7 linked regions of the Rattus norvegicus genome follow. The protein of the gene in region 1 binds, or shares a complex with, the protein of each later gene. Links are inferred from orthologs where the notes say so. Each region holds a gene or a part of one and is shown in the gene's direction. Other genes may lie near its edges.

Region 1 (4,273 bases):
GCTGAGGAGCACCACATGCAGCAGTCCTACCAAGATGACGTAGGCCAGCCAGATGCCCCGACTGTTCATCACTCGAGTGTTGGGGTTTACTTCGCTGTGGGCCACCCCCACATTCATCCTACCACAGTGAGGGATCAGGCAGGAGTCCAACTCAGTTTCCTCATTACCCCTGATTGAGCTTGTTCCCCAGTTGTCTCCTGAAAAGCCAAAATCCCCTGAAGTCTTGGGAATGAAAGGATTTCCCTATCATGCAAAAAAAGGAAAAACTGAAGACTCTGTTAAAACTTGAGAAGACATGAAGCAGCTGGGCATGGTGGCTCATGATTGTAATCCCTGCTCTTGGGAGGTTGAGGCGTGAGGACTGTTTGAGCCGATCCTGGGCTAGAGTGAGATCATTTCTCCAAAACAAATGAAAAGGCACGAGGGTCTTCAAAATGGCTAAGCTGGAGAAGGTATTTGCTACCACCCTAAAGACCTGAGTTGGATCCCCAGGACCCACACCGTAGAAAGAGAACCAACTACTGCAAGCTGTCTGTCCCCTGACTCCCATACCTGCGGTTGTTAGTGTGTATACTCACTGACAACTAAGTGTCTTTTCTGCTGTTGTTTTTTTTTTTTTAAAGGAAAGGCCCTCACTATTATAGAAATACTTTTAAGTTTTAGTTAGATCTTTACATTTCAACTAAACATGAAGCAGTAAGCTTAGACTGTGACATTTACTTGAAGGACCAGGGGAATCGGGAGTATTTTAATTTACTTTCTTGAGGAAGTTAAGGTCACACCCAGAGTCCCACAAGAAAGCTATTCAGTTAATCAAGGGACCAATAAAGAAGGCACCGAGAGTAAAGCTACCTCTAGTCCCCATCTTTTTTCCTGAGGCTTGTCCATCCTGTCTCTCACCCGCTCTGCATTGTCAGCAGCCAAACAACGCCATCCTTTCGCTCAATATGGGGCGCTGCAAGAACTTACCCAATTTTTTAGCTTTTAAACTTCCGCTAGCTCTGATGCCCGGGTCTTTTGTTTGTTTTGTTTGTTTGCTTTTAAAAACCCGCTCTTGCTTGTCCCCAAATCCCCCAAATCAAGTACAGAGTCTGCCCATGCTCCTCCCAGAGTCCCAGTTTCACACGTCACTTTAAGGCTTTCCTCACGGCACCTCTCGAATTTAAGGTTGTCGATTCCCCGCCCTTCCCGATACTCCCACCGATTTCTCTCCGTAACCTTTTCAAGTCTTACGCAGCCCATACCTGCCAGCTTCAGGAGCCCGTCCGGCTTGGGGCACAGCTCTTACACCTGTGGTCTCCAGGAAGTGCCCGACTTTCGCCCTGTCTGCGCTCTCCCTATTGGTGGAACAGAATCCGCTCTGTCCCCAATCATTGGCTGGTTACGCGATGGGGACGTACAATTGGTCGCCTTTTCTATCGTTAGGCCATGCAAGCCCCGCCCTTCCCGGGGTCCACCTTTTCAGAGAGCTGTGGAAAGTGGCCAAGAGGCGTGAGAGCGACGCCGCCACTGACTAATGGGAAGAGCCGTTGGTGTGAGGTGGGAGCAAAAATGACAGCGATTGGTTGGATGAGCCTAAGCTCCTGAAGAGGGGGCAGCTGTGGGGGTCTGGTGGAGTAAGGCGCAGCAAGATGGCGACCGAGACGGTGGAGCTCCACAAGCTGAAGGTACCGTTACGCGGGGAAGGCTGAGGTGGGGTTTTCTGGAACCTAAATTCTACACGGGGCCCTGCGTCGCCTAATTCCACGTGTTTTCCTGTCAGGCACTTGCTTACACTTCTTTCCTGGCTCTCGCTGTAGTTTTGTGCCTCCTTTCTTAGGCCTACCTTAAATTCCGTTTCTCCTCAGTATTTTATTGCTATCGTTACCTGGTGTTTACCTGTTGTTGCCCGTTCTTCTCATTGTTTTATTATCTGTCACCCTTCCACACCCGGCTGTGAAGCACCTTCTGCCTTTTATATTCCGTTCTCATTTGATCAGCATTACGTCAGTGGTCTTTCTCCCGTGTCCCATGCTGACCCACAATTATGTTTTTGTTTTTGTTTTTTTTTTTTTCTCGGATTGGTGTAGTCACTTCTCTTGTCCGAAAGCTGAGATTTCTCAGTTAACATATAGTGGCATTTTTGCATGTTTACCTGAATGTGTCCCAAACATAACCCAGAAAGTGCTTTTAAAAAGGTGGGGTTAAGATCTTGGACTCGAATTTTGAAACCAAGGAGAGGAGGAGCCTTAAGATAGGTTCCTCGGTGGAAACTTGGGGCAGAGGCATCTCTAAGAGGTTGTAAAATGGCGAACACATTTTCCCTAAAAGTTTTTCGAGTTTTCCCAGGAGGTTCTCAGCATCCTGACCTCTCCTGACTATCCTACCACTAGAGAGAGAACGTATAGGGTAGATAGCTGTAACGTTGGAGGTATATGAAGTATATTTGAAAACCTTAGGATTTTGCTTGCCCTGTTTATTTTTGGGAAGAATCCCAGCTCTCTTGGTGTCACACACCCCCTATCCCCTTTTTGGATCTAATTTTGTTATTTACGTGTGTCTGTGAGTGTGTGGTGCATGCTCTTGGAGGTTAGAAGAGGGTGTTGGATCCCCTGCATCTGGAGTTACAGGCAGTTCCTCATGTGGTTCCTGGGAATAGAATTTGGGTCCCAAAGAGCAGTAAATGCCCTTCACCATTGAGCCATCTCTCCAGGACACCTTGGTGTCATTTTTTGGTGACATTCTAAACCACAGGACCTATTGAGCTGTACATTTTGGTAACCCGAGGTTCTTTTCTTGTATGTAGACTTGCCCTTCGATTATTATTCTGTAAGGACAATAATTCCTTTTTAAGAAGAATTAAGAAACTATATTCATTATTGTTTTGTTTCCCAAGTAACTTTGGTTGTTTTGGTCATCTTATTCTGGGAATCATGTACAAATCAAACTTACTTAATAAAAGCTGAGAACTTTTCTTTCTTTCTTTATTGAGACAGGATCTCACTCTGTAGCTCTAACTGGCCTGGAACTCAGAGATCCTACCTCTCTGCTTCCCAAGTGTCGGGATTCGAGGCATGCACTGCCATGCCCAGTGTTTTGTTTGTTTGTTTTATTTTTTAATAGTTGCTTTAAATTATTGGACTGTGATGATTTTTTAAAAAAAAGATTTATTTATTTTATGTGTATGGGTATTTTGTATGTATGCATGCATGTATGTATGTATGTGTACCTGCAGAATTATGGATAGTTTTTAGTCTCCATGTATGTGCTGGAAATTGAACCTGGGTCCTCTGAAAAAACAGTCTGTGGTCTTAACTGTTGAGCCATCTCTCCATCCATGAACTCTCTCTCTCTCTCTTTTTTTTCCCTTAAAGTTAATAATTGGGTCTGGGGAAATGGCTTAGTGGTTAAGAGCACGCTTTCTTTCAGACGACCTGAGTTTGGTTTCCAGCACCAAAGTCAAGCGACTCACAACCACTTGAGCACACCAGCTTCAGGGGATCTGATTTTCTTTTCAGGTGTCTTTAATCTTTTTTTTTTTTTTTAAATCTTTTAGGATTTATCTATTTTATGTATGTGAGTACACTGTAGCTGTCTTTAGACACACCAGAAGAGGGCATCGGATCTCACTCATTACAGATGACTGTGAGCCACCATGTGGTTGCTGGGAATTGAACTCAGGACCTCTGGAAGAGCAGTCAGTGCTCTTAACCACTGAGCCATCGCTCCAGCTCCCTCAGGTGTCTTTAGGCACCTGCTTCTGTGACACACACACACACACACACTCTCTCTCTCTCTCTCTCTCTCTCTCTCTCTCTTTTTTAATCTTGAAAAAAAAAAACCTTAAAAATTGCTGCATTTTTGTTTTTCTTTAAGATCTGTAAATGAAGGTGTGTAGAAAAAGCTCCTGTAATTTAGTCTGTTAAGGTGACATTATTGTTTGAAAGCAAATGTGTTTCTTAACTGTTGGACTCTCAAATTTCATTATTGGATTTTTATGTTATTCTAGTTACTGTTAACTTGATGTAGCTATAATGGAATTATCATAAGTTTTCTAATGATTACTTGAACAAATAAGGAAAATTGAGCAACTACCTCCATTTTTATCTGTGTAAGTTATATAGTTCTGTACTGTTATACATATTATAAAACATACACAGAAAATTAATATTTAAGTGAAAGAGATTAAAATTTAGTGGGCTATTTGGTATTCTCTTGTTTGTTCCCCTTTTGAAACCCTGGAGTAAGTCACTAGTTGTCCCATGACTTTCCTTTATGGATACTGTATTTGTTT
Region 2 (4,148 bases), on another chromosome or scaffold:
CTTGTAACAACTTCTTCTGGGAGAACAGTTGAGCACAGTCTCAGTAGGCAGCGCCCTCCCTCTTTGCTCCTCATCCCACCTGTATCTCCCTATGTACCCATCCTTGCCCAGGCTCAACATGCACCAAAGGCGCAACAGTAGCAGTCCAGATCTGCCACTAGTTTTAATAAAGCTTCTCTCTCACGAACTGTCAATGTCTGTGTCCTCTGGGTCTGACTCACTCTCAACACCTTATCTTGGAAAGTTTACACTAGATCTTACTTAAGGAACACTCAAAACCCAGAATTGTAGGGACCCAAAAATTTTAGCTGAAATCCAAGTGTTACTGGCTCTTTAAGGACTTGTATCAATAATTGGTAATAATGCCAGCTCTTGGAAGGATGAGGCAGAAAGATTTTGAGTTCCAAGCCAGCCCATACTACATACCCAAATCTTGTCTCTAAAAACAGAAACAAGCCATCAAGAAACCTGGAGAAAGCTAGAAATGGTTTCTACCATTAGATACCATGGTTACTTAATCTCAACACCTGGGAGGCAAAGGCAAGAGGATTTCTGTGAGTTCAAGGCCAGTCAGGTCTGTATAGAGAATTCCAGGACAGCCAGAACTACATTAGAGAGACCCTGTCTCAAACAAGCAAACAAAAAAAACCTGAAGAATTTTTTCCCAAGCTTCATTGTTTATTGATGTACCATCAATGCTAGACATTATGTAATAATTAGGGGTTCATTAGTGGGGATACAGATTTGCTTTACTGTATTATGTGAGGTGAAAAGACCCACCCTAAAACTAGCCACATCTTCTAGCAGCAGTCCCTATAAAAGGATGCAGAATCCAATGTGGATCTTCAATCCCAGTACAGTGAGGGGGGAGGGGGAAAGTGAGGAGGGAAGATGAATCTTTGTGAGTTTGAAGCTAGTTTGGTCTACACAGAGAAATCCTGCCTCAAAAAGAAAAAAACAATACAAATAGGGATGAGAAGAGGGCCAGAGCAAATCAGCGAGGTTCTAAGGTCCTAATAAGATTTTACTTTTGGTCTTTAACTTGGGAAATAAAAGAATATAAACACTGCTTCCAATCTAAGCTGCTCTCTGCAAACCAAAACCCCAAACAAAGTAGGGCATAAACTTGTCCTGCAGGTAGTCAAGATACCTAGCGATTGTGACCACTGACCACGCCCCCAAGGGCGGAGCACTACACGTAACTTAAGGGATCTTTGCCAAAGTCCGTAGGGATACGCCTGCGACTCCTGCGCAAGCCAAAGGGCCCATTTTTCCACGCCCCTAGTTGCGCGCGCAATGACGCAAGCCCGTCGGCGCCATTTTAGCCGGTCACGCTGCACTGGTGGGCCTGGCGGCCATTTTGTTTTGGACACCAAGCGGGAGTTGGCGGCGCCGGCTGTGGTGGCACAGACGAAAGGCAGGAAAAGGCTGGCTTGACGAGCGGGAGGATCAGTCGGCTAAATACTCAACCCACAACAAGGGAGCCTCGCAACCTACCGTTTAAGCATCTAACCCAACCGCCCAGCTAGTTAACCCGAGCGGTCCGCCGTCAGCTCGGGTTCGGCCGGCCTCCGGCCCGCCCGCCGCAGCCGTGGTGGCAACCCCGGGAGGAGCGCTGGCGTCCATCTCCTTCGGTGAGTTTCTGTGGTGAAAGCAGAGGTGGAGCGCCGAGGGGGCGCGGGACATGGCGCGGACGGCAGGTGCGGATGGGGCTGAGGTGAGCAAAGGCCGGGGGAGGGGGCGGAGCCGGGAGGCGGAGGCTAAGCCGGAACCGCGGCCAGCAAGCGGGCCAGCAGGATTGTTGGTGCTGGTTTTGGTTGGCTTGTGTGGTGGTGGTGGTTGGTGGTGGTGGTTTGGTTTTGGCCCCAAATCTAGTCTCTTGCTTATGTAGATAAGCGCCCTCCATCAGAGCCCAAGCCTCGCCCCAGAATAGCGTTTGATGGGAATAACAACGGAAATAAGCGCCTGACCAAAGTCTTTTGAGAGGCTTTGAGGTGGAGGTTAAATGAGGAATACAGGAATTAGCGGCGGCTCTGGGTGTTCGTTTTTTTTCGGCACCGAAATTGAATCCAAAATTATGCTCTGGCTAGTCTAGCGCCCAGAGTTAATATCCCCAGCTTTAAAAATAATAATAATTTTAGTTTGAAACAGGGTCTCAGAAGTCACTTAGGCTCGCCTTTAGCTTGTGACCCTCTTGCCTCAGCCCTTCCCAGTATGTGCCCCTACAGTTAAATTTTGTGGAGTTGCTCTTGACAGAGCTCTCAGATTGAATACCCATTGAGAAAACCTTTTCTGTCATTCCCCTGCCATGTCTTTCTAGAGCTCCACTTGCATTTGGAGTTGAGAATCAGTTTTGAAACTTGGCATTTCTTTTGAGTGTGTGAGAGTCGGAGCCTCATAATGTGACAGTGTAACCCTTGATGTCCTCAGCCTGTTACACCACTCCTCTGTTGCTGCTGGGAATTGAACTTAAGGCTTCATCAGTGCTAGACAAGCACTCTATTGCTGAGCTGTATTCCCAGCTCCTCCATTTCTCTAGATTTGTGGCCCTCAACTTTCTGTAGACATGTAAGATGTACCTGGGTAGGTAGCACCCCTAGCCCCAGTTGCTGTACCCCATCGTCATGGCCAGATTGTAGTTTAATTGTCTGGATCCAGACATCAAAAATTTAGTTTGTTTTTTTTTTTTTTTAAACATTCCTCAGCTAAATCATATTCAGCCCAGGCTAAGAACTATTCCAGATTGAAAGCCAAACTCCTAGGCTTTGGCTACATCTGATTCTGCCATTTTGTTGACTTTGGCAGATGTTCTCCATCCTGGGGCTCTGAAATTTGATAAATGGAAATAACTGTCATCTAAACTTAAGCCCCCACCCCATGGGGTTTCTCTGTAGCTTGGCTTGTGTCCTTAAACTTGCTCTGTAGACCTGGCTAGCCTCGAATTCACAGAGAGCCACCTACCACTGCCTCAGGAGTGCTGGGGCTAAAAGTGGGCACCACCACCACATGGCAAACTTAAGTTCTCATGACACCATCTTCAGCAGTTAGTAGTATAGGCCTCTCATGGGTTTATGCCTCGATTCTTGTGAAAATGCAAACTTCATTATTTTGATTGACTCATTATGCATATTGTCCTTTGTAGATTCTCGGGATTTGAAGATGGCTGCACAGTCAGCGCCGAAAGTTGTGCTAAAAAGCACCACCAAGATGTCTCTAAATGAGCGGTGAGGCAGCCAACAGCAACTTCAGCTCCTTCCTAAGAAAACATTACTTAAATTGGCCCTGGGGTCCAATACAAAAAAGCCAGTTGTAAGCTAAATGACAGAAGGCTACAGACTTCTGTTCTTAATTGATTGCATCTAATGTGGTACAAACAAATTGGGCAGTTGTTTCAAAACCCCTTATCAGTAGATTTTTATATTAAGCTATCTGACATATTGACCTGGTGGGATATATTTTTTTTTAAAAGACTCCTCACACCTTCCCTTCGATTTTTCTTTTTTTCCTAACATTGATACAGGGGTGGTGCAGCACGATGGTATGGTATATCCTGGCTGCATTCGGCTTGCTATCTAGTCCAAGGCCAGCAGTGTTGTGTCTGGCCTGTAAGAGGCAGGTAGCAAGCCAAAACTATGTCCAAAGGCCCCTGAATGTCATTCTTGGGCCTTGTAAGAGGCACTTGCTTTGCTCCATTTCACTTTCTTCCCATTCTGCTTTTTAGTTTGTTGTGTTTTGAAATCTTTCAACAGCTGTGTGTTTACTTCCATTAAACTTATTCATTACAGGAATGTTAGAATGCCCTTTTAGGCTCGTAAGTGACTTAACTAATTTAACCTTCTCAGAGAAGTCCTGAGTCAGAAAGAATGGTTATTTGAGATTTAAGAAAAGTTAAAGTAGTTAAAGACAGTTTTTGTTTCTGAGAATTTTATTTGGTGTCTTTCACCATTTTATTATGTTGTTGCTAGAACAGCCAAGGCATTTAATGCCTGTGTTTGCTTCTAAAGCATGTGTTTCTCTACTCATCTTTTAAGATGTGTTATATTAATTACCTGTATTTGTGTGTTACTGAGTAACATGTTAGAATATAATGACATTCCATAATTCACGTGTCTCTGTTATTTCAGTGGACTTTGAAGGTGCTCTGATCC
Region 3 (2,367 bases), on another chromosome or scaffold:
AGATAAGGTATTTGAATATATATGTTAGCCTCTACGTGTGTGTATGTGTGTGTGTTTAGAGATAAACTTATATAAGTTGTTTTCTTCTTAACACAGCTGGAATTGAGACGGAAACAATTTCACGTTCTTCTTAGTACCATCCATGAACTTCAACAGACATTGGAGAGTAAGTAAAACCATTCAAAATTGCAGCTTCAGAAGACTTTAAATGACTGGGGAGTGCTTTGGTGAGAGAGTCTGCCTCCAGAATCCAGTGCTATATCTGGATGGCATTAGAAAACACTCTCTGTTCAACTTTCTGTATACAAACAGAAGAGCAGTGATTCTGTGGTAATCTGTGCTTTGCATGCATGTCTACTAATAAGAAAACTTCAAGAGTGATGGGGAGTGTTTCCTGACTAATGATTCAGGACACGTGCAAACTACTGTAAGTTGTTGGTATATTAGGCTGCCTACATGCTCAGCAAATGGGGGGCCCACCGAGAAATTGAAGACTTGATCTTTCTTGTGACTGTAACCAAGTAGAACTTCCTGTGTTTTCTGATCGTTTTTGTTTTTTTTTAATTAAGGCTACGACTTAGATTTTAGTTCTTTAGTGTTTAATGAAATCTATCACACAAATTATATATTCTTAGTAATATGTAAAAATAACCAAATGTATAACATTTGTGTGTGTGCACATGTGTGTACGGGGCTGCACACATAACCATGTTGTGCATGTGGAGGCTACTTGTTGTGCCACTAGAAGTCAGTTCTCTTCTTCCACCATGTGGTTCCCAGGATCGAGCTTAAGTCATTAGGCCGAGCATGATGTGCCCTTGCCCTGACCTGTTTTTAAAACCAAAGGAGGCTAGAGAGGTGGCTCAGCCGCTAAGAGCACTGACTTCCAGAGGTCCTGAGTTCCATTCCTAGCAACCACATGGTGGCTCACAACCATCTGCAATGGGCTGCTCTCTTCTGAAGTGTCTAAAGACACCTACAGTGTACTCACATATAAATAAAATAAATACATGTTTTAAAATTAAAAAAAAAAAACAAACAATGATGTGGGCTGTTTGCAGCCATAACTTGTTATTTTGCTGCCTTGATGAAAATGTATTTGCCAATGCAAAATAAAACTTTTCATGCATTACCAGGCACAAAATGTAGGTGACATGAAGTAAGGTTTTGTGTCTTCCTAACTACAGATGACGACAAGCTGTCAGAGGTGGAAGAAGCTCAAGAAAGCGCCATGGAGGCAGACCCTAAGCCATAGATGGTGACGTCGCTGTCCGTCCGCCCGCAAGGACAGGCAATAGCTGCATGGGCTTCCTGGGTTCGATTTCAACTTCGGCAGTGAAATACTTTGCTTTCAAATATTAATTCATGCCTCATTTGTATTTCTTCACACAAGGAAATGTATCCATGTATATGTATTTTTAAATGCATTTTTATCCTTAAACCTAGAATTCAGCATCGGAAAATATTTAATAAAATATCTCCAGCAGGATCTTTGTGCTCATTCAAAACTCTAGGTAGCTTGCCTTTGCAAATTAGAAAATGAGTCGATTTCTAGAAGGTATTAGTAGCTCCTTAGAAAACGTGGTCTAAGAATAGGCTTTAGAGGGGCTATGATCAGTACTTAATGGTGTGTGTGTTTATTGTAGGGGAGTTTCCACACTGTTAAGAATAGCTGTTGTTAGGGGCTGGAGAGATGGCTCAGCGGTTAAGAGCGCTGACTGCTCTTCCAGAGATCCTGAGTTCATCCCAGCAACCACATGGTGGCTCACAACCATCTGTGATGGGATCCAATGCCCTCTTCTGGTGTGTCTGAAGACAGCTACAGTGTACTCATATATACATTAAATCAGTAAGTCTTTTAAAAAAATTGTATTGTTGTATGAGATCAGTTCATCTGCATTGCTTTTCTGCATTTCTCTCTGTTAGTATTTAAGGAACATGGTTGGTAAATGCTTCTCTTCTGTGTTTTGTTCTTGGGGAATCTTTTTTAAAATACCTACTTTGGGGCATGCGTGCAGAGTGCATGTGTTTACGTGTGAGGGACTGCACCTGCTGTAGCATGGGGTTAGATTCAGATGACTCCGGCTGCTGCTGGTCCACCCTGTGTGTCTGAGGCAGGGTCCTCTTTGTGGCTGGGCTGTGTACTAGGAACTCAGCAGCAGCAGCAGCAGGTGCAGGGAAAGCATGCGCTTCGCAGCTTATACTTCCTCGTGGTTCTCTTGGAAAGCCTTTGGAACTGCTTGGAAGACTGAAGGATCTCAGCTCCTAGAGACTCACACTGCTTAAGCTCAGCGTGTCTTTGTTCCAAAAGCTTCATGGATTTGTCAGTCACTGTTTCTATGAGGTCGTCCACCTGTAATAGACAGA
Region 4 (3,500 bases), on another chromosome or scaffold:
CCTTCCCTCCTTCTACACAGTCCCTGTGGAGTCTGGAACCCTGTGGTTCCCTCCTCTTCTGACATCTGCCAGGACCTACCCAGAGGCCACTAACCATGCTCAGGCGCTAGGCTGTTGTCCTATCCCACCTCAGCTGTGATCACTGGGCTGAGGAAGATGGTGTGATCCTTCAGTTGTCAGTAGGCTGAGTGATGTAAGAAAATTTGTGAACTGGGGATATAGTTTAGGGGTAGAACACTTGCCTAGCATACCCGAGACCTTAGATTTATTCCCCAGTACCACAAAAGATAAGCTAAACAAAATTAATTTCCCAAAGCTGGAAGCATAATAAAGAAGGGCTTATTTAGCTCATGAGTGTGTGGGTTTGCTTGTTACGATTTTTATTAAATTTATTTAATGTATGTGTGTGCATTCAGGTGTAAGACACACACGTGCACGCACACACGTGCACCAGTTATCAGAGGACAGCTTGAGGGAGTCACTTCTTTCCTTCAACCTTGTGGGTTCCTGGGATCAAACTCCAGTCATGAGGAGAGGACACCTTTACCTACTGAGCAGTCCTACTGGCTTTGTGTGTGTGTGTGTGTGTGTGTGTGTGTGTGTGTGTGTGTGTGTGTGTGTGTGTGTGTGTACGTACGTGCGCATGTGTGTGTGAGTGTTTGTTTGTTGAGACAGAGTCTCATGTAACTCTAGCTGGCCTAGAACTCACAGAGATCCATCTACCTCTGGGATGGAAGGCACGCACTGCCACACTGTTTTAATTTTGTCTTTGAGATCAGCTCAGGCTGGCCTTGAACTCTGATCTTTTTTTCTTAGCCTCCAGAGCACTGGGATTGCACACACGAGCCACCATGTGTAGCCTAGTTTAGCTTTACTATTTGAAGGCTAGAAGTCCCAGGGGCCTCATGGCAGGTGACAGTACAGCGACGTGGAGACGGTGGCACAGGTGAAAAGGAAGCCGAGGGAGTTAGGAGCCAAGGCTGTTCTATAACAGTGCTCTGGACACTAAGCAGAGTCTCGCAAGAAGACTTAATCCTTTCAGAAGGCAATTCCCTCTCATCCAGAACCCAACTACCTCTCACTAGAGCTGACTTCTCCAGGTTCAACCTGGCAGCAGCACAGGGAGCCAACTTCTTGTATAAATCTCTGGGTAATGCACAGGAGCCAAATCAGAAGCACTAGTCCAAAGATCTGGGAGCTAGGGAGAGGGCCCGGTGGGTCGGAGCTCTTACTGCATAATCCTGATGACCTGAACTTGGTTCCCAGAAGCCACGTCAGCGTGTGGAATGGAGTGGAGTGTGTCTAATCCCGGCACCCCTGGGAAGAAGGGGTCAAAGGCTGTCTGTCAGCAGAGGGAAACTTCATATGTGAGAGCTTATTCTCTGATTGTGCATGCACATCCGCTGCCCAGCAGTTCCAGTTGAACTCAGTCTTGTACTTTTGCAGCTACTCACTGGGAGACATTTCTGTCAGAGCCTCCCTTTGACCGATGTGACGTGAGAAGCTGGGACCGTTTGCCACTAGTCCACTGTGGGAGTTAGAGCAGGAGGATAAGGAGTTCAAGGTTGCCCTTCATTATGTATTGAATCTGAGGCTACCTTGGGCTACATGGGACTCCCTTAACAGCAACAACAGATTCTTTTTTTTTTTTTTTTTTTTTAAAGAAAGATAAGAAGGAAGGAAGAAAAGGAGTTGGGGAGAGACAGAGAGAGAGAGACAGAGAGACGAGAGGAGCTGGAGAGATGGCTCAGTGGTTAGGAGCTGCTCATCCAGAGGACCTGAGGTCAATGTCCAGCACCCACATGGCAGCTCACAACTGTAACTTCAGTCCCAGGGATCCAATGCCCTGTTCTGGCCCCTGAAGGTGCAGCATACATGTCGGTGCCAAGATACATGGAGGCAAACCACCAAACAAGGCATACACACACATGCACACAATTTTTTTTTTTTAATTATGACACTTCTCCAGGTAGCAGGTTTAGTCCATTGACAAACACCATCAGGTAGAACAGGGTCTTTGGAGGAACCAGAGTCGCTGTACCTTACCCTGAGGACCTGGCAGCCCGGCTCCCATTCTAAGACCGTCAGTGTCAGCACTCAGCAGCACTTCACTTAGAGGAGGCATTTGTGTTGACTCTGGGACATGTGGAGACCACCACGGAAGGCTGGGTAATCACGATTTTTTTTGCCTCTCCCTTCTCAGCTAAGCTTCAGGCTGCTGTGGTACTGAACCCTGGCTACTCCTCCATCCCACCTGTTTTCCGACTCTGTCTAAACTGGAAAGGGGAGAAAACCAACAGCAACGATGACAACATTCGGGTAAGGCCCACATGGGTGGCAGGAGAACAGGGAGCCCTAGAGAGGTGGGCAGTGTGTCAGTCTCAGGACAGGGATGTACCAGGATCTACAGAACATGCTCGCCGCTTAATTTCCTGAGGCCCACAGTGTTTCCCGTTTAGCACTGTTAACTAGCAAAATGTCTGTGCACCAACCACTCCAGCACCTGATGGGTGGCCACACAGTGAGGAGCAGACAGACACACAGACAGCTGGATCCGGTGGTCTGACTGCTGGAGAGACCTTAGGCCATCCCCAAGCCCAGCATGTTTGTTAGGTAAGGTTGAATAGAGAAGCAGGGTTGTGGTACAGAGACAGATCAAGAAGGTGGGTTTAGCCAACCTCAGCAGGAGCGGACTATAGGGAACCGTCTCCTGGCTGTAAATCTCAGAAAGAGAAAGCTGTGGTGGACATTTTCTGTATACACCATCAACATCTACACACAGATCAGAAGAAAAGGCTCGGGCATTCCTCCTAGCCTCATGTCGGGCAGGGGTAGGCTTTGCTGTACTCTTGTGGGTCTGAGGCGAGAGTCCTAGATAGGCTAGTTCATGCCAACAACACATATCCACTCAGGGTTCCTACACTCCCTTCAGCAAGGTGCGGTGGCAGCACTGGGGAGGCAGAACAGACCAGCTTGGTCTGCACAGTAAGTTCCAGGCCAGCCAAGGCTACACAGTGAGACCTTACCTCTAAAATAAAACCAAAACTTGTCTTGAAGTCGAGTCACCTTGGCCTCTGATGGTAAGCAGACGCAGAAGCACCATAGCAGACTCAGATTCAGTGAGGGCGCTGTAGCTGCTGCCCAGGGCCATGCCTCGTGGTGGGTCTTCGTAGCCTGTGGCCCAGAGCACGTCTTCCTCTATATACCCGTGTTCCTTGCTGGTATCTGGGGTGGGACAGTGGGTGGTAATCAGGACCCCATTGTCTTGAGGAAACAGGATCTCTGGGTGAGGCTGTGGCACAGCTCTGGGTACAGCTCCTGTGCAGGCAGCAGCCGTAGCTCATGTGCCATCAGGTCAGCCATGAGGTGAAGGTGTGACCATGTGCTCAGCCATACCGAGGATCAGTTGCTGAGGTGCTGGCTTCCCACCCCCACAGGCTATGGAGAGTGAAGTCAATGTGTGCTATCGGGAGCTCTGCGGCCCTCGGCCCAGTCACCAG
Region 5 (3,346 bases), on another chromosome or scaffold:
TCTTTCTCTCTTTCTCTCTTTCTCTTTTTCTCTCTTTCTTGTTTATGTATGTTCTTTGGTGTTTTGCCTGCATGTATGTCTGTTTGAGGGTGTTGAATCCTCTGGAACTAGAATTATAGACGGTTGGGAGCTGCCATGTGGTTGCTGGGAATTGAACCTGGGTCCTCTGGAAAGAAAACCAGCCAAGTGCTCTTAACCGCTGAGCCATCTCTCCAGCCCCAGGAAGCATTTCTTAATTCTGTATGATAATGTATACTTTATCTCTATTTCTCATTGCACTAGCAATTTCATGGTGGAGAGGACTGTGTTTATGTTTTCCATTGAATTGCTAACGCAATTATTAAGACCTAGGTAGGTCTTAATAGTAGGATCTCAGTAAGTATTTGTTGTATGAGTAAAAGAAAATGTGAAATAAAGATTCAGGGCCCCGAGGCCGTGCTATTGCAGTGCCAGGGAGGAATGCGAGACAGATGGCCGTAGTTTCTTTGGTTGAGAGGATGAAGTTTGCTGTGAGTCCTGTAGCTTTTAACTTTTCAAAGCCTACTTTTTAATGATGGTTCTTAAATGCTTTTAACCCTCCCTTCTAGCCCACTACCCACCAGAGGTAGTGGAAAAGAAAAGATATGGGGGAAGCGGACCTTTTTAGAAGTTATTCTTTGGAGCAAATCCCATCTGAGTTGTCGGGAGGTCAGCAGTTCAGTTCACGGGTCAGCAGTGGCAGCTCGACCCACTAGGAAATACTTCATGAATACATCAGTGGTCCAGTTCGGTACAGTCAGGACAGGAGCATGAATCAGCAATGGTGGCACGGCATAGCAGACACAGCCAGGCCACCTGAATTGGCATGAGTCAGCAGGAGGAACCAGGACAAGTAGGGATGCCAGGAGTTCTCTTTCAACGAAGAGGAGGTTGGCAAAGACATGAGAATTGTACAGCTAGCTCTGCAAGCCCCTCTCTTCCCTATTCCTGCTCCTTTCAAATATCGAGTGTGCTCCATGGGTCTTTTCTCATCCCGTGTTGCCTCAGCACATGAGTCTGTCTTAGCAAAACTCTGTGTGAGTCTCTATCAACTGACATCCAGAGGCCTTGGAAGCGGCAGCATACCACCAGAAGTTTTTTGGTGTGCTTCTCTATGGACCTCAACCAATACAGCGCATCCTTTCTCATGTCTACTTCAGCAAAATGTTCCTTCATGAGTCCGCCTCAGCACAGATGGATTCATCTGTGTCTGCTTCAGGAAAAAACTCCGTCATGTGTTTGCCCCAGCAAAACACCATCTGACACAACTGACTTTCCAAAGAACCCTTAAGTTTCCACTTCAGAACCCCAAGTTAAACGAAACAAGACAAAAATCACATTGGCAGGGATATTGAAGGAGTTATATATTCATAGACCTGGATACTGTACTGGGCTTTACTGTTTGTGTATTGGATAGTATAGCTAGGTATCACAGTCCTGGATTTGCTTCTTCTATGCCTTAGGTGTGACACTCTTACTTTCTTTTCCTCCAGAGTGATGCTCTCAGGAAGCCTAGAGATGGTCTAATTTTCTGTGAGGTCCAGTAGCCTCACTGGTTCATCTAGGTGTTGGTGGTCTCGGTCCTGTGCTCTTGTACTTGGGCAAACCTTTTGTTTCTTCCTGTAGGGATGTTTTTGTTAGTGTTTTCCCCTTGGTGTCTTAGTGCCCTGGCCCTCTTCTGCACACTGATGGCTGTCTTGTCTCTCAGCTACCCAGAACTGAAGCCTGTGCAGTCCATCAATGCCCACCCTTCTAACTGCATCTGTATCAAGTTTGACCCCATGGGGAAATACTTTGCCACAGGAAGTGCGGATGCCTTGGTCAGCCTCTGGGACGTTGACGAGCTAGTGTGCGTGCGGTGCTTTTCCAGGTATGTAGCTGACAGGCTTTTCTTGTGGGGAATCAACCTTTCCTCCCCCTTTGGGGGTAACTAACTGATGTTTCTCTCCATCCTGTCATAGACTAGATTGGCCTGTGAGGACCCTCAGTTTTAGCCACGATGGGAAAATGCTGGCGTCGGCTTCGGAGGACCATTTCATTGACATAGCTGAAGTAGAGACAGGTATCTTAATTTGACTCCTTCGAGATGATGCCTGGCCTCAGGCCTTCTCTGGGCACGTTTTAGCTGTGTGATACCACGTCACTAGTGGTATCAGATGGGTTTGTTTTGTTGAGATATTTGTTGATAGGATTGTCAGCTTTGTGTAATGGTGGGGCGGAAGGGCAGGAACAGAGTGCCAGGTCTGAAGAGAAGCGCTGTAGGAAAACACTGCATTTGCATTATTTCTTCTGTTATCTAAAAATACATTTTAAAAAAAAGGTAGGGATTTTTGTTTGTTTTGTTTTGTTTTTTTTGAGAAGGGTCTTACTTTGTAGCCCTGACTGGCCTGGAACTCCCGATGTAGATGAGACTGTCTTTGAATTTACAGAGCATCTGTTCCTGCTTTCTGAGCGGGGGTTAGAGCAGGACGTCATTTATGGGTGCTCCTCCCAAGGCCCACTGCCTCCTTTCTGACACCTGTCGGGTTTCTGTGTTCCTGGGTTTTGCTGCTTCTTTGAAGTTGTTTGTAAATACATGATTTTATGTATCTGTAAAATTAGGACCCCCAAATGAGAGCACACATGGAATATTTGTCTTTCTGGTGAATTTTGTGTGATTATCACCGAGTTATGATAGCCTTTGTCTTGTTTTCTTTCTCCGTAGCTGTGATAAATGCCCTATGACAGCAGCTTCACGGGGGAGGGGCTTCTTTGGCTCACACTTAGTTACAGCTCACTTCGGGCTGGACAGTTGAGCAGAGAGCCATGAATAAGTGTTTGTGCACAGCTGCCCTTCTCCTTTCAGTCCAGGGACCCCTGAGACCCACGCTCCAAGGGTCTTCCCACCTCAAGGAGCTCAGTCAAGAAAGCACCTCACAGGATGGCCGATCTAGACAGAGGTTCACCGAAATGCCCTTAGCAGACTGTTTTTAAGTCAAACTGACCAACACAGGCTTAGTTGAACCATCTGCAGTATGCAGAATACGTCTTGAGGGCTGGTTATTGATCTTGGGTGAGCATTGCCAGCCATTCAGCAGTGTGGGGCCCTTAGGGAGCGGAGGCTTCTTAACTCCCTCCACTCCCGACCCACGGGGCTCAGGCACAGCTGTCTGAGGATTTTCATCCGGCCGTGGCTGTGTCAGTAATGGAGCTGGTGTGACCACCGTAACTTGACAGCCAGTGTGGGGGCTGGGTCAGGTCACCAGGTTTGCTTGGCGAGTGAACTCCTTTACCAGCCTTGCCTCTTTCTGTCCATTCTTTAGAGGTAGAACTTTTCGTATGTTTCTTT
Region 6 (4,292 bases), on another chromosome or scaffold:
ACAGGGTTTTTCTGGGTAGCCCTAGCTATCCTGAAACTTGAACTGTTGACCAGGCTGAACTCAAAACTCAGAGAGGGGGCTGGAGAGATGGCTCAGCGGTTAAGAGCACCCGACTGGGGCTGGAGAGATGGCTCAGAGGTTAAGAGCACTGACTGCTCTTCCAGAGGTCCTGAGTTCAAATCCCAGCAACCACATGGTGGCTCACAACCATCTGTAATGGGATCCGATGCCCTCTTCTGGTGTGTCTGAAGACAGCTACAGTGTACTCATATACATAAAATAAATAATTCTAAAAAAAAAAAAAAAATACTGTTAAAAGAGCACCCGACTGCTCTTCCAGAGGTCATGAGTTCAATTCCCAGCAACCACATGGTGGCTCACAACCATCTGTAAAAGAGATCCGATGCCCTCTTCTAGTGTATCTGAAGACAGCTACAGTGTACTTATATATAATAAATAAATAAATCTTAAAAAAAAAAAAAAAACTCAGAGAGGGTTTTTCAAGGCTAGTAGGGCAGCCCCGAAGTTCTTCGAGCACAGAGCCACTTACAGTCTGGACAGCAGCCATTGAACGCCATCCTGCAGATGCCGCAGTTCTCATCATTGGCTACCCAGAGCCAAGTGGCCACACCATTCCAACACTTAATTTTCACCTTCATGACAGCAGAGTCTGTGACCTGAGGGAAGAGGATTACGTACCTATTAGTATGTAACACTACAGCACTTGAGCATTAAAGTCGTGTACTCCAAAATTAAAAAAAAAAAAAAAAAAGCACGTATCTGTCTGTAAAGAAGGCAAGGAGAGCCTCTGGAAGCAATAGCTCGCTTCCGAGTTTGTTTTGCCACGTTCAAGAATGTCTATAAAAATCTGACCCAGGTCTTTAATCCGGGGGCAAAAGCAGATCTCACTGAGTTCAGCCAAACAGGAAACAAAAACAAACAAAACCTCTGCACCCACGAAAAACATATTGGTTTTCCCTAACCAGGGCCTCGCTTTTAAAAGGAATTGGAAGAGTGACAGTCACTAATCCTCGAAGTTACAGCTGGATTGCAGACGCCAGCTCCTTAGGAGACAGCCTTCGAACAAACAAAACCCAAATCGGACCCACGGACCCGCCCGGACCCATTGGAATCGCACCTGAGGGGACTCCGGAGAAGGGGAGCGCTCACTGCGTGGCACCCAGGCGACGCTGAGGGTCTTCCGGCCTCCGGGGGAGGCGCAAGCAGGCCCCGCCCCCTCCTCGCCCTCGCACCTTCACCACCTAATCACGAGGCGCCCCGCCCTTCCGTTGCCTCCGCGCGGGAAGGTATAAAAACGACCGTGCCGCGTCTGGCTCCTCAGAAGGAGCGCCAGCCGCCTCAGAGAACTGTACGTAAGCGCTCTTCGGATCCGCGCGCGCGGAGACCAATCAGTAGGCGCCTCAGACCCGGGACGCCGGAACGCAGAGGGAGGCGCAGGAAGTGACGCTACAGCGTGCTGACGCGCGGGCTCGATACGAGGCCCGAATCCGCGCCCGCCATGGCCGACAAAATGGACATGTCTTTGGACGACATCATTAAGCTGAACCGGAGCCAGCGAGGAGGCCGCGGCGGGGGCCGGGGTCGCGGCAGGGCCGGCTCCCAGGGCGGCCGCGGCGGCGCAGTGCAGGCCGCCGCGCGGGTGAATCGAGGCGGCGGGCCTATGAGGAACCGGCCCGCCATCGCCCGCGGCGCCGCAGGCGGCGGCGGCAGGAACCGACCGGCACCATACAGCAGAGTGAGTACGGGGACGTGCGGCACGGACCGGGGCGGGAGGGCGCTCGGCACGACCGAACCGGGAGAGCGCCCTGCGAGGCTCGCGGGAACTGCAGCGAAGGGGTGGGCGGGGGCGAGGCCGCGCGGCGAGGCCGGGCCTGAGGCCGGGATCTTCCGGGAGGCTTTGTCCCGTCCTGGTCCAGCCTCATGGCGGCGGGGGCTGCTGTGAGAAAAGTTTGGCGGCCGCAGTGGAGCGGTGAGTCTGGGGTACTCTCCCGGCTCCTCGACCTTGGCCGCGGGCAGACGTGAGAGGGTCGCTGGGGTGTTTAAGGCTCCTGGGTGAAGGATCAGGAGTCTCTGACCTTACGGTTTTTCTTCAGCCGAAACAACTTCCCGACAAGTGGCAGCACGACCTATTCGACAGCGGCTTCGGGGGTGGAGCCGGCGTGGAGACGGGTGGGAAGCTGCTTGTGTCAAACCTGGATTTCGGAGTGTCAGACGCTGATATTCAGGTAGGAGTCTGGAGCTGTCCGCTATACTCATCCCACACAGACGTGTGGTCCAGAATCCCTTAAGGATTGGAATCTGCCCTCCCCCAGGCTGCCCAAGGGCCAGCCGCTGTCACCCTGAGAGGCTTGGCCTCAGAAACAGTTGTGTCTCCTGTGTTTGATTGAACACGACCGATAAGCCAGGCTGCAGATAAACTGTGTACCCCTAAAAGTGAGTCTTTTCTGCTGTACAAACCATGAGCATCAGCCCTCTGCCAGAACTTCCAGTTTCTAACCCACACAAACTGGCCATAACTGAGGTTCCAATATGACAGAAGAAGCTGCTTGCTTCTCAGATCTTGTGCCCATTATAGTGAACTGATTAGATAAGGAAGGTTTTTCCCCAGATACCCGACAGCATTCTGTGAATGATGGCTGTGGGCTTTCCAGCCTGAATCCCTGTATCTTAACTGGTGATCTTTCCTGGGTCTCATCAGGGCTTGTGGTCCTCCATACCTTTGAAATATTTTTTTCTCCCCCAACCCCTTGGATTTTTTTTTTTTTAAACTGGACTTCAAAGGCATTTAGAGTTTTCTGGTTACAAGGCAACTTTTTACGAGATGGTTTTCCACATAGCTGGAGCTGGGTCAGGTGTACTGGGCCTTTCCAGGTACCATTTCCCAGAGCTAAGCCATTTGGCCTTGCCATGGGAGGAAAAAACAAGGCTAGTGAGTACTCAGTGTCTCAACACTTTTTTTAAGGTGGTTTCTGGCATCCACTGGAAACCACTTTTGGTGAACTCCACTTCCCACTATGTGTCTACAGCTGAAGTGCCTCACACTGTGGGTTCCCTCTCCACCTCCCAGGCTGCCTAAAGTCAGGGCAGGTTCCATGGTGCATTTGACTTCAGACTTTGCAGCAGGCTTGAGTAGGAGGAGAGGGAAAGGTGAGCTAGAATCTGCCTTTGGGGTAGGGGCTGGATCACAGCTCCCAAATCAGTGGGCCCTTTGAGTTGTCTGCTCTATGGAAAGTTTTAGTTTTGGTCTCTGCTGTTTGGTGAAACAGCCATTAAGCAAGTTGTAGGTACCCTTGGTGAAAGAGGTTTCTTAATCTTTTGTCTTGTGACAGGACTCTGTGTCTTCCCTCACGGTCATGGTGTAGTTACACAGTCCCAAAATGGACAGGAACCCCAGTGTTTGTGAAAGTTGCCATTTCTCTTGATATAGAACATCCTTTTTTTCAGCTCTTAATTGCACTGCCTTGCCCCCTTCCTGAGTGGCTGTCAGTAAAGTACTTCAAGCACGAGTGCTCATATAAGTGTTGCCAAGCTACTAGAAGGAAAATGGCTTCATTGCTCTGCTAATTTTTACTCTTTCCACTTCCCAGGAACTGTTTGCCGAGTTTGGAACGTTGAAAAAAGCTGCTGTGCACTATGATCGCTCTGGACGAAGTTTAGGGACAGCAGATGTACACTTTGAACGGAAAGCAGATGCCCTGAAGGCTATGAAACAGTACAATGGTGTCCCTTTGGATGGTGAGTCTGGGGCTGGGCCCTGGATGCCTGTGGGGCTTGTGGAGTTTGGGGCTGGCACCTCTCCCTGTAGGAATATGGGCTGCCCCTGTGGCTGAGGACACTTTGCATTTGCCCCTTTGTCTCTCTCTTCCATTCTGCCACCTCTCATGCTGCCCCACACATCTGGACCAACCTCTTGTGAACCCCCATCCAGCAAGCTACATCCCTCCCCTCCTTGATCTCCTTCCGGAAGATTCACTTCTGTGAAGCCTTCTCAGAACCGCCATAGTACAACCTGAGTGCGGGGCTGTAGTCGTAAAGACAAAGGTACCTGTTCTTCTTCCGTCAGGTCACCCACACCTGTCTGCCCATGAGCACCCTGAACACCTGACCAAACAGCCCTCCTAGCCTGAGCTGAGAAGGAGTGAGGAGGTGTTGGTGGGGTTACTATTGCACTTCATTTCCCACCAGGCTCTCCAGGCCATTTATCTTGTTGGGGGCATTGGAGACACACAGAGGCCCTTTCCAGAGCTTGCATGGAGACCAGGGTGTGGTGC
Region 7 (3,939 bases), on another chromosome or scaffold:
CATTTGCATGAGTTCCCTGTTTGCCCAGATTGGTGCAAACGCCCTTTGCTGGCTGTAAAGCCTGGCTCACTTGGGACAAACCTTACTATGCCTCCGTCCTTGGTGCTGCCACATTAGGTCCAGTAACTGGAAGAAAGCGGCTGAGAGCTTTCCAACTAGGTCACTAGAAGAGTTCCTGGAAACTCTTCAAAGCCAAAGGTGCCTCTCTGTCTGGAGCTACAGCTCTTACTAAGTTACCAGGGACGGAGGAATCCCCACTTTCTGATTTATACAAAACCTGCCAGCCTGCTGCTTACAGCTGTCAAATGGCTGAGGAATCAAAAGCTACCAAGCCCCAGCCCAGGGAGCTTATCCGTTGAGCAGGACACAGCGGGCTGGTTGGCAACAATGATACTTACTTAGTGTTACTTAGTATTACTTTCAAGTATGCTCAATAGGGAAAGCACCTGCTTATGTTTCTGCAGAAAGGCAACAGGTCATCACTTCTGACGTGTGTAGCACCTCAAAGGGAATACCACCTACTTAGGGGGGACAAATTCCGGGCTGAATAATGGAACTGAGACCATTCTGCTGCTCTAGTTAGTAATAATTATGGAAAGGTGCATAACCCTCAAACTCCACCATTTATTTAGCACCTGGACAGAATGTAAGCCTCCATCTCCCAATATAATTTTGGGTAAATCCGGCCTATTCTCTGCACAACTGTAATGGGCGTGGTCACGTACCGGACCCCCCCCCCCCCAGTAGAGGCCAGACTTAGCCGCTCTCAGGTCACCTTGACTACGAGGCTAAGGACCCCGTGAGAACGCTTCTCACTCTGCTCGCGGAGTCCTGCATGCCCACAGAGAGGCGCCCAGGGAGAAGCCTGGCGTGGCAAACAAAACAGAACAAAAGTAAAGCCGACCGTCGGAGGGTGTGCAGAAGCGTAGAAGAACAAAATGGGGAAATCAGATGGGGAGAGATGTGAGCTTCCTGTCGCGCTCTTGCTGCCGGCGACGGAAGGGGGCGTCAGAAGCTTAACTTCAAGTGGGCATTCTGCAAAGCCAGCCGTGGAGCGCGCGCCGCCCGAGGCCTCCTTCCGGCACCCCGCGCATGCGCCCTGGCGGCCGGGAAGGCGGGAGGCCGGGGCGAGACTGGAACCGGAAGTGAAGGCAGCTTCCCGCCTCCGTCCCTGTTGCTGCCGCCATACACGCTCGCAGTGCTTAGGTAAGCTCGGCCTTGTGTACTATCCGCCGCCATCTGCCCGCCCCGCGGCTCATTCCGCCGCGCGGGCCCCTGATACCCGGTGCCCGGCCGGCGGTGTGGCCGCCGGCGCGTAGGCGAACGCTCAGTTCCATTGTTTTCATCCCTTTCTGAGAGCAAATCTTGGTGGGGGAGCTGGGAGACAGGCGGGGGACGATCCAAAATGGTGGCCTCGGCCGCCATTGTGTTCCTCGTTTCCTGGATGTTCCAGTGGGTCCTTTGCCCACCCGAGGCCGCGGCGGCCGGAGGCGGCGCCAGGAGGAGGGCGGGGCCCCTCGCATCTCCCCTCCGGGCCTTTTCTTAGTCCGCCAGGGATGGGAAGGATCTTGCCTCCGGGCCCATTCAACCCTCTGACCCCCTGCTTACGCTCCCTTATTTGGAGCTCTCTGTAAATGGCTATCTCCGTGCTTGACCAATGGTGTCGGCGCAGTAGTCGGGAAGGTTTCCAGGAAGCTTTCCGGGAAACTTCCGAGGGCACTGCGAGGCGTTCGCTTTTAAGACCACTCTAAAGGCTGCATCGTCCTCAGCTGCGACCTTAATTCCTTAATGTGACTATTAAAATTAATTGTGGCGGCGCTGGGCCGATCCTTGCGGCCTCTCGCGTTGCTAAGCGAGCACCTTCATTGAACCAGACACCCAGCCTTTTCAAAAAAGAATTTTCTTTTTTTAATGGAGCCATTCGTACCCTTGCAGCCACCGTTTAATTACCATAGGCTCTCCCCACCCCCTTCCTTCCTGCTTCTGCTTCCCGGCACTGGGAATCACGGGTGTGCGCCGCCGGGATGGGCCCTCGGGTGTTCCTGAGCAAGTGAATAGCGGCAGCCACATGATGTTTGCAATTGGGAAGTGAGCGCTCTGCGCGCGGTGCTGACCCTTATCTATCACCCTTGACTGATGGCTGACGTTGGGGCTCAACACCGCGAGGTGACAGGGGGAAGTGCAGCCCCTCGTCTTCTCTTGTCCTTTGTCTCTCCACCCTCGTGTGAGTCGTTAGTCACGCTCATCCTCGCTCCCGCCTTGTCGAAGTGTGATCCAAAATCTGGTTGGCGGTCGAGGCCACTCTCTGTCTCTCCCGTCTGGTGTTCCGTTTTTATGTCTCGTGTGTGTGTCTCTGTGTGTGTGTGTCTGTCTGTCTCCGTTAACTTTTCTTTCGGGACAAAGGCTTCAGTTTAGAGAAAATAGGAAGGGTGTAGGGATGGATGAGAAGTGAGGAGTCAGATCATGACTGATTAGTTTTTCCTTTTTCTTTTTTTTTTTTTTTTTTGTCGTCCCTTCTCCCAGCTCTTCTGTCGGAAACTGGTGTCTTTTCCCTTGCTGTTCTCCAACCCCTCTCTTTCCCCTTGCTTCCTCTCACCTGCTCTGGGACACCTAACTCAGAGACCTCCCTTCTCCCCCCGCCGGCCGGATTATGGCAGAGAACGATGTGGACAATGAGCTCTTGGACTATGAAGACGATGAGGTGGAGACGGCCGCTGGGGCAGATGGGACCGAAGCTCCCGCCAAGAAAGACGTCAAGGGCTCCTATGTCTCCATCCACAGCTCCGGCTTTCGAGATTTCCTACTTAAGCCAGAGTTGCTCCGGGCCATTGTTGACTGTGGCTTTGAGCATCCATCAGAGGGTACATTTTATTGTTGGGTATAGAGACATTATTTAGCATTTCAGGGATGCAAGACAGATGTGGTTCGTGTCTTGGTTCATAAGATCTGAACTTAGTTAGGCCAAGCTCTGAGAATGCACTCAAAACGTTAGCTGCCGAAGAGGCTTTTGTTTTTGCCTGGTTTTTTGTTTTTTGTTTTTCTTTGGTTTACACCTTTTTGGCTATTTGGACTCTCAGGGCCTGGTTGGACCTTTAGTTCCCCTCTTTTGGCCCAGGCTGACAGTGGTCCCTGGAAACCGTAACGATCTGTTTAAAGATGTTAGCTTCTATGGCTTCTGGGTTAGGTACCAAGTCCTTCATTTTGTTCAAGGTGGCAGGATAACATGATCCCAAAGCCCAGCAACCTATGTAGGAGAAATAATCTGTGGCAGTCACTCAGATTCATTGATGGTTACGCTATAAGAAAAATAAAGATAGCCAAGAACATTGAAGGTGAACCATTGGTAGGTTCAAGAGGGGTCTTAGTAGCACTGGGGAGCCGGGGCACAGGTAGGAGGGTTTGATTTGGGTGTCTTGAGGAGATCAGAGAAAGGATGGGGTCAGGTAAAATGTGACACATTGGCTGGGAAGGAGGGGACTTGGCATGGTGTAAAATAAAAATCTCTCTCCTTTCCCCTCTAGTCCAGCATGAATGCATCCCCCAGGCCATTCTGGGGATGGATGTCCTGTGCCAGGCCAAGTCAGGCATGGGAAAAACAGCAGTGTTTGTCCTGGCCACACTGCAGCAGCTGGAGCCAGTTACTGGGCAGGTATGTTGGGGGCAGTGTTGGAGAGGGTGTTGAGGTTGAACCACCAGGAGGCTGTTTCTGGCTGTGTGCTCTCAGAGCTGGTCTCCTCCGGCAGTTCAGGGGGAATGTTCTGTAGCAGAGTGGCATAATGGTTTAAAGAAACTGCTGTCGCCGACAAGTTGCCAGATGCGGGACTGACTTTACTGTGTCTGTCTCCATTTGCTCCCTCAAAGGTGTCAGTGCTGGTGATGTGTCACACCAGGGAGCTGGCTTTCCAGATCAGCAAGGAATATGAGCGCTTCTCAAAGTAC

Evidence for each region.
Region 2: Sarnp (region 1) and Chtop share a complex: the UniProt entries of both Homo sapiens proteins name them as parts of the transcription/export (TREX) complex. The link is inferred for Rattus norvegicus from reciprocal best matches to the Homo sapiens genes SARNP and CHTOP.
Region 3: Sarnp (region 1) and Thoc7 share a complex: the UniProt entries of both Homo sapiens proteins name them as parts of the transcription/export (TREX) complex. The link is inferred for Rattus norvegicus from reciprocal best matches to the Homo sapiens genes SARNP and THOC7.
Region 4: Sarnp (region 1) and Thoc5 share a complex: the UniProt entries of both Homo sapiens proteins name them as parts of the transcription/export (TREX) complex. The link is inferred for Rattus norvegicus from reciprocal best matches to the Homo sapiens genes SARNP and THOC5.
Region 5: Sarnp (region 1) and Thoc3 share a complex: the UniProt entries of both Homo sapiens proteins name them as parts of the transcription/export (TREX) complex. The link is inferred for Rattus norvegicus from reciprocal best matches to the Homo sapiens genes SARNP and THOC3.
Region 6: Sarnp (region 1) and Alyref share a complex: the UniProt entries of both Homo sapiens proteins name them as parts of the transcription/export (TREX) complex. The link is inferred for Rattus norvegicus from reciprocal best matches to the Homo sapiens genes SARNP and ALYREF.
Region 7: Sarnp (region 1) and Ddx39b share a complex: the UniProt entries of both Homo sapiens proteins name them as parts of the transcription/export (TREX) complex. The link is inferred for Rattus norvegicus from reciprocal best matches to the Homo sapiens genes SARNP and DDX39B.

Annotation. Positions count from the first base shown.
Region 1 is NC_086025.1:1,834,124-1,838,396, forward strand, and holds the start of Sarnp (SAP domain-containing ribonucleoprotein), read left to right. Parts: upstream 1-1,473; 5' UTR 1,474-1,631; coding exon 1,632-1,667; intron 1,668-4,273. Other genes in the region: Ormdl2 (ORM1-like protein 2), read right to left, coding at 1-117. UniProt on the Homo sapiens protein: Binds both single-stranded and double-stranded DNA with higher affinity for the single-stranded form. Specifically binds to scaffold/matrix attachment region DNA. Also binds single-stranded RNA. Enhances RNA unwinding activity of DDX39A.
Region 2 is NC_086020.1:178,287,549-178,291,696, reverse strand, and holds the start of Chtop (chromatin target of PRMT1 protein), read left to right. Parts: upstream 1-1,348; 5' UTR 1,349-1,634; exon of another isoform or gene 1,635-1,717; intron 1,718-3,142; 5' UTR 3,143-3,159; coding exon 3,160-3,224; intron 3,225-4,148. Other genes in the region: S100a1 (protein S100-A1), read left to right, coding at 1-32. UniProt on the Homo sapiens protein: Plays an important role in the ligand-dependent activation of estrogen receptor target genes. May play a role in the silencing of fetal globin genes.
Region 3 is NC_086033.1:13,705,826-13,708,192, forward strand, and holds the end of Thoc7 (THO complex subunit 7 homolog), read left to right. Parts: coding exon 1-7; intron 8-96; coding exon 97-166; intron 167-1,187; coding exon 1,188-1,255; 3' UTR 1,256-1,867; downstream 1,868-2,367. Other genes in the region: C15h3orf49 (putative uncharacterized protein C3orf49 homolog), read right to left, coding at 2,153-2,353. UniProt on the Homo sapiens protein: Component of the THO subcomplex of the TREX complex which is thought to couple mRNA transcription, processing and nuclear export, and which specifically associates with spliced mRNA and not with unspliced pre-mRNA.
Region 4 is NC_086032.1:84,009,897-84,013,396, forward strand, and holds part of Thoc5 (THO complex subunit 5 homolog), read left to right. Parts: intron 1-2,203; coding exon 2,204-2,319; intron 2,320-3,437; coding exon 3,438-3,500. UniProt on the Homo sapiens protein: Component of the THO subcomplex of the TREX complex which is thought to couple mRNA transcription, processing and nuclear export, and which specifically associates with spliced mRNA and not with unspliced pre-mRNA.
Region 5 is NC_086035.1:10,151,281-10,154,626, forward strand, and holds part of Thoc3 (THO complex subunit 3), read left to right. Parts: intron 1-1,726; coding exon 1,727-1,888; intron 1,889-1,979; coding exon 1,980-2,080; intron 2,081-3,346. UniProt on the Homo sapiens protein: Component of the THO subcomplex of the TREX complex which is thought to couple mRNA transcription, processing and nuclear export, and which specifically associates with spliced mRNA and not with unspliced pre-mRNA.
Region 6 is NC_086028.1:106,370,596-106,374,887, reverse strand, and holds the start of Alyref (THO complex subunit 4), read left to right. Parts: upstream 1-1,492; 5' UTR 1,493-1,519; coding exon 1,520-1,756; intron 1,757-2,114; coding exon 2,115-2,246; intron 2,247-3,608; coding exon 3,609-3,756; intron 3,757-3,949; exon of another isoform or gene 3,950-4,062; intron 4,063-4,292. Other genes in the region: Anapc11 (anaphase-promoting complex subunit 11), read right to left, coding at 551-659. UniProt on the Homo sapiens protein: Functions as an mRNA export adapter; component of the transcription/export (TREX) complex which is thought to couple mRNA transcription, processing and nuclear export, and specifically associates with spliced mRNA and not with unspliced pre-mRNA.
Region 7 is NC_086038.1:3,586,852-3,590,790, reverse strand, and holds the start of Ddx39b (spliceosome RNA helicase Ddx39b), read left to right. Parts: upstream 1-1,139; 5' UTR 1,140-1,206; exon of another isoform or gene 1,207-2,166; intron 2,167-2,523; 5' UTR 2,524-2,650; coding exon 2,651-2,861; intron 2,862-3,521; coding exon 3,522-3,649; intron 3,650-3,861; coding exon 3,862-3,939. UniProt on the Homo sapiens protein: Involved in nuclear export of spliced and unspliced mRNA. Component of the TREX complex which is thought to couple mRNA transcription, processing and nuclear export, and specifically associates with spliced mRNA and not with unspliced pre-mRNA.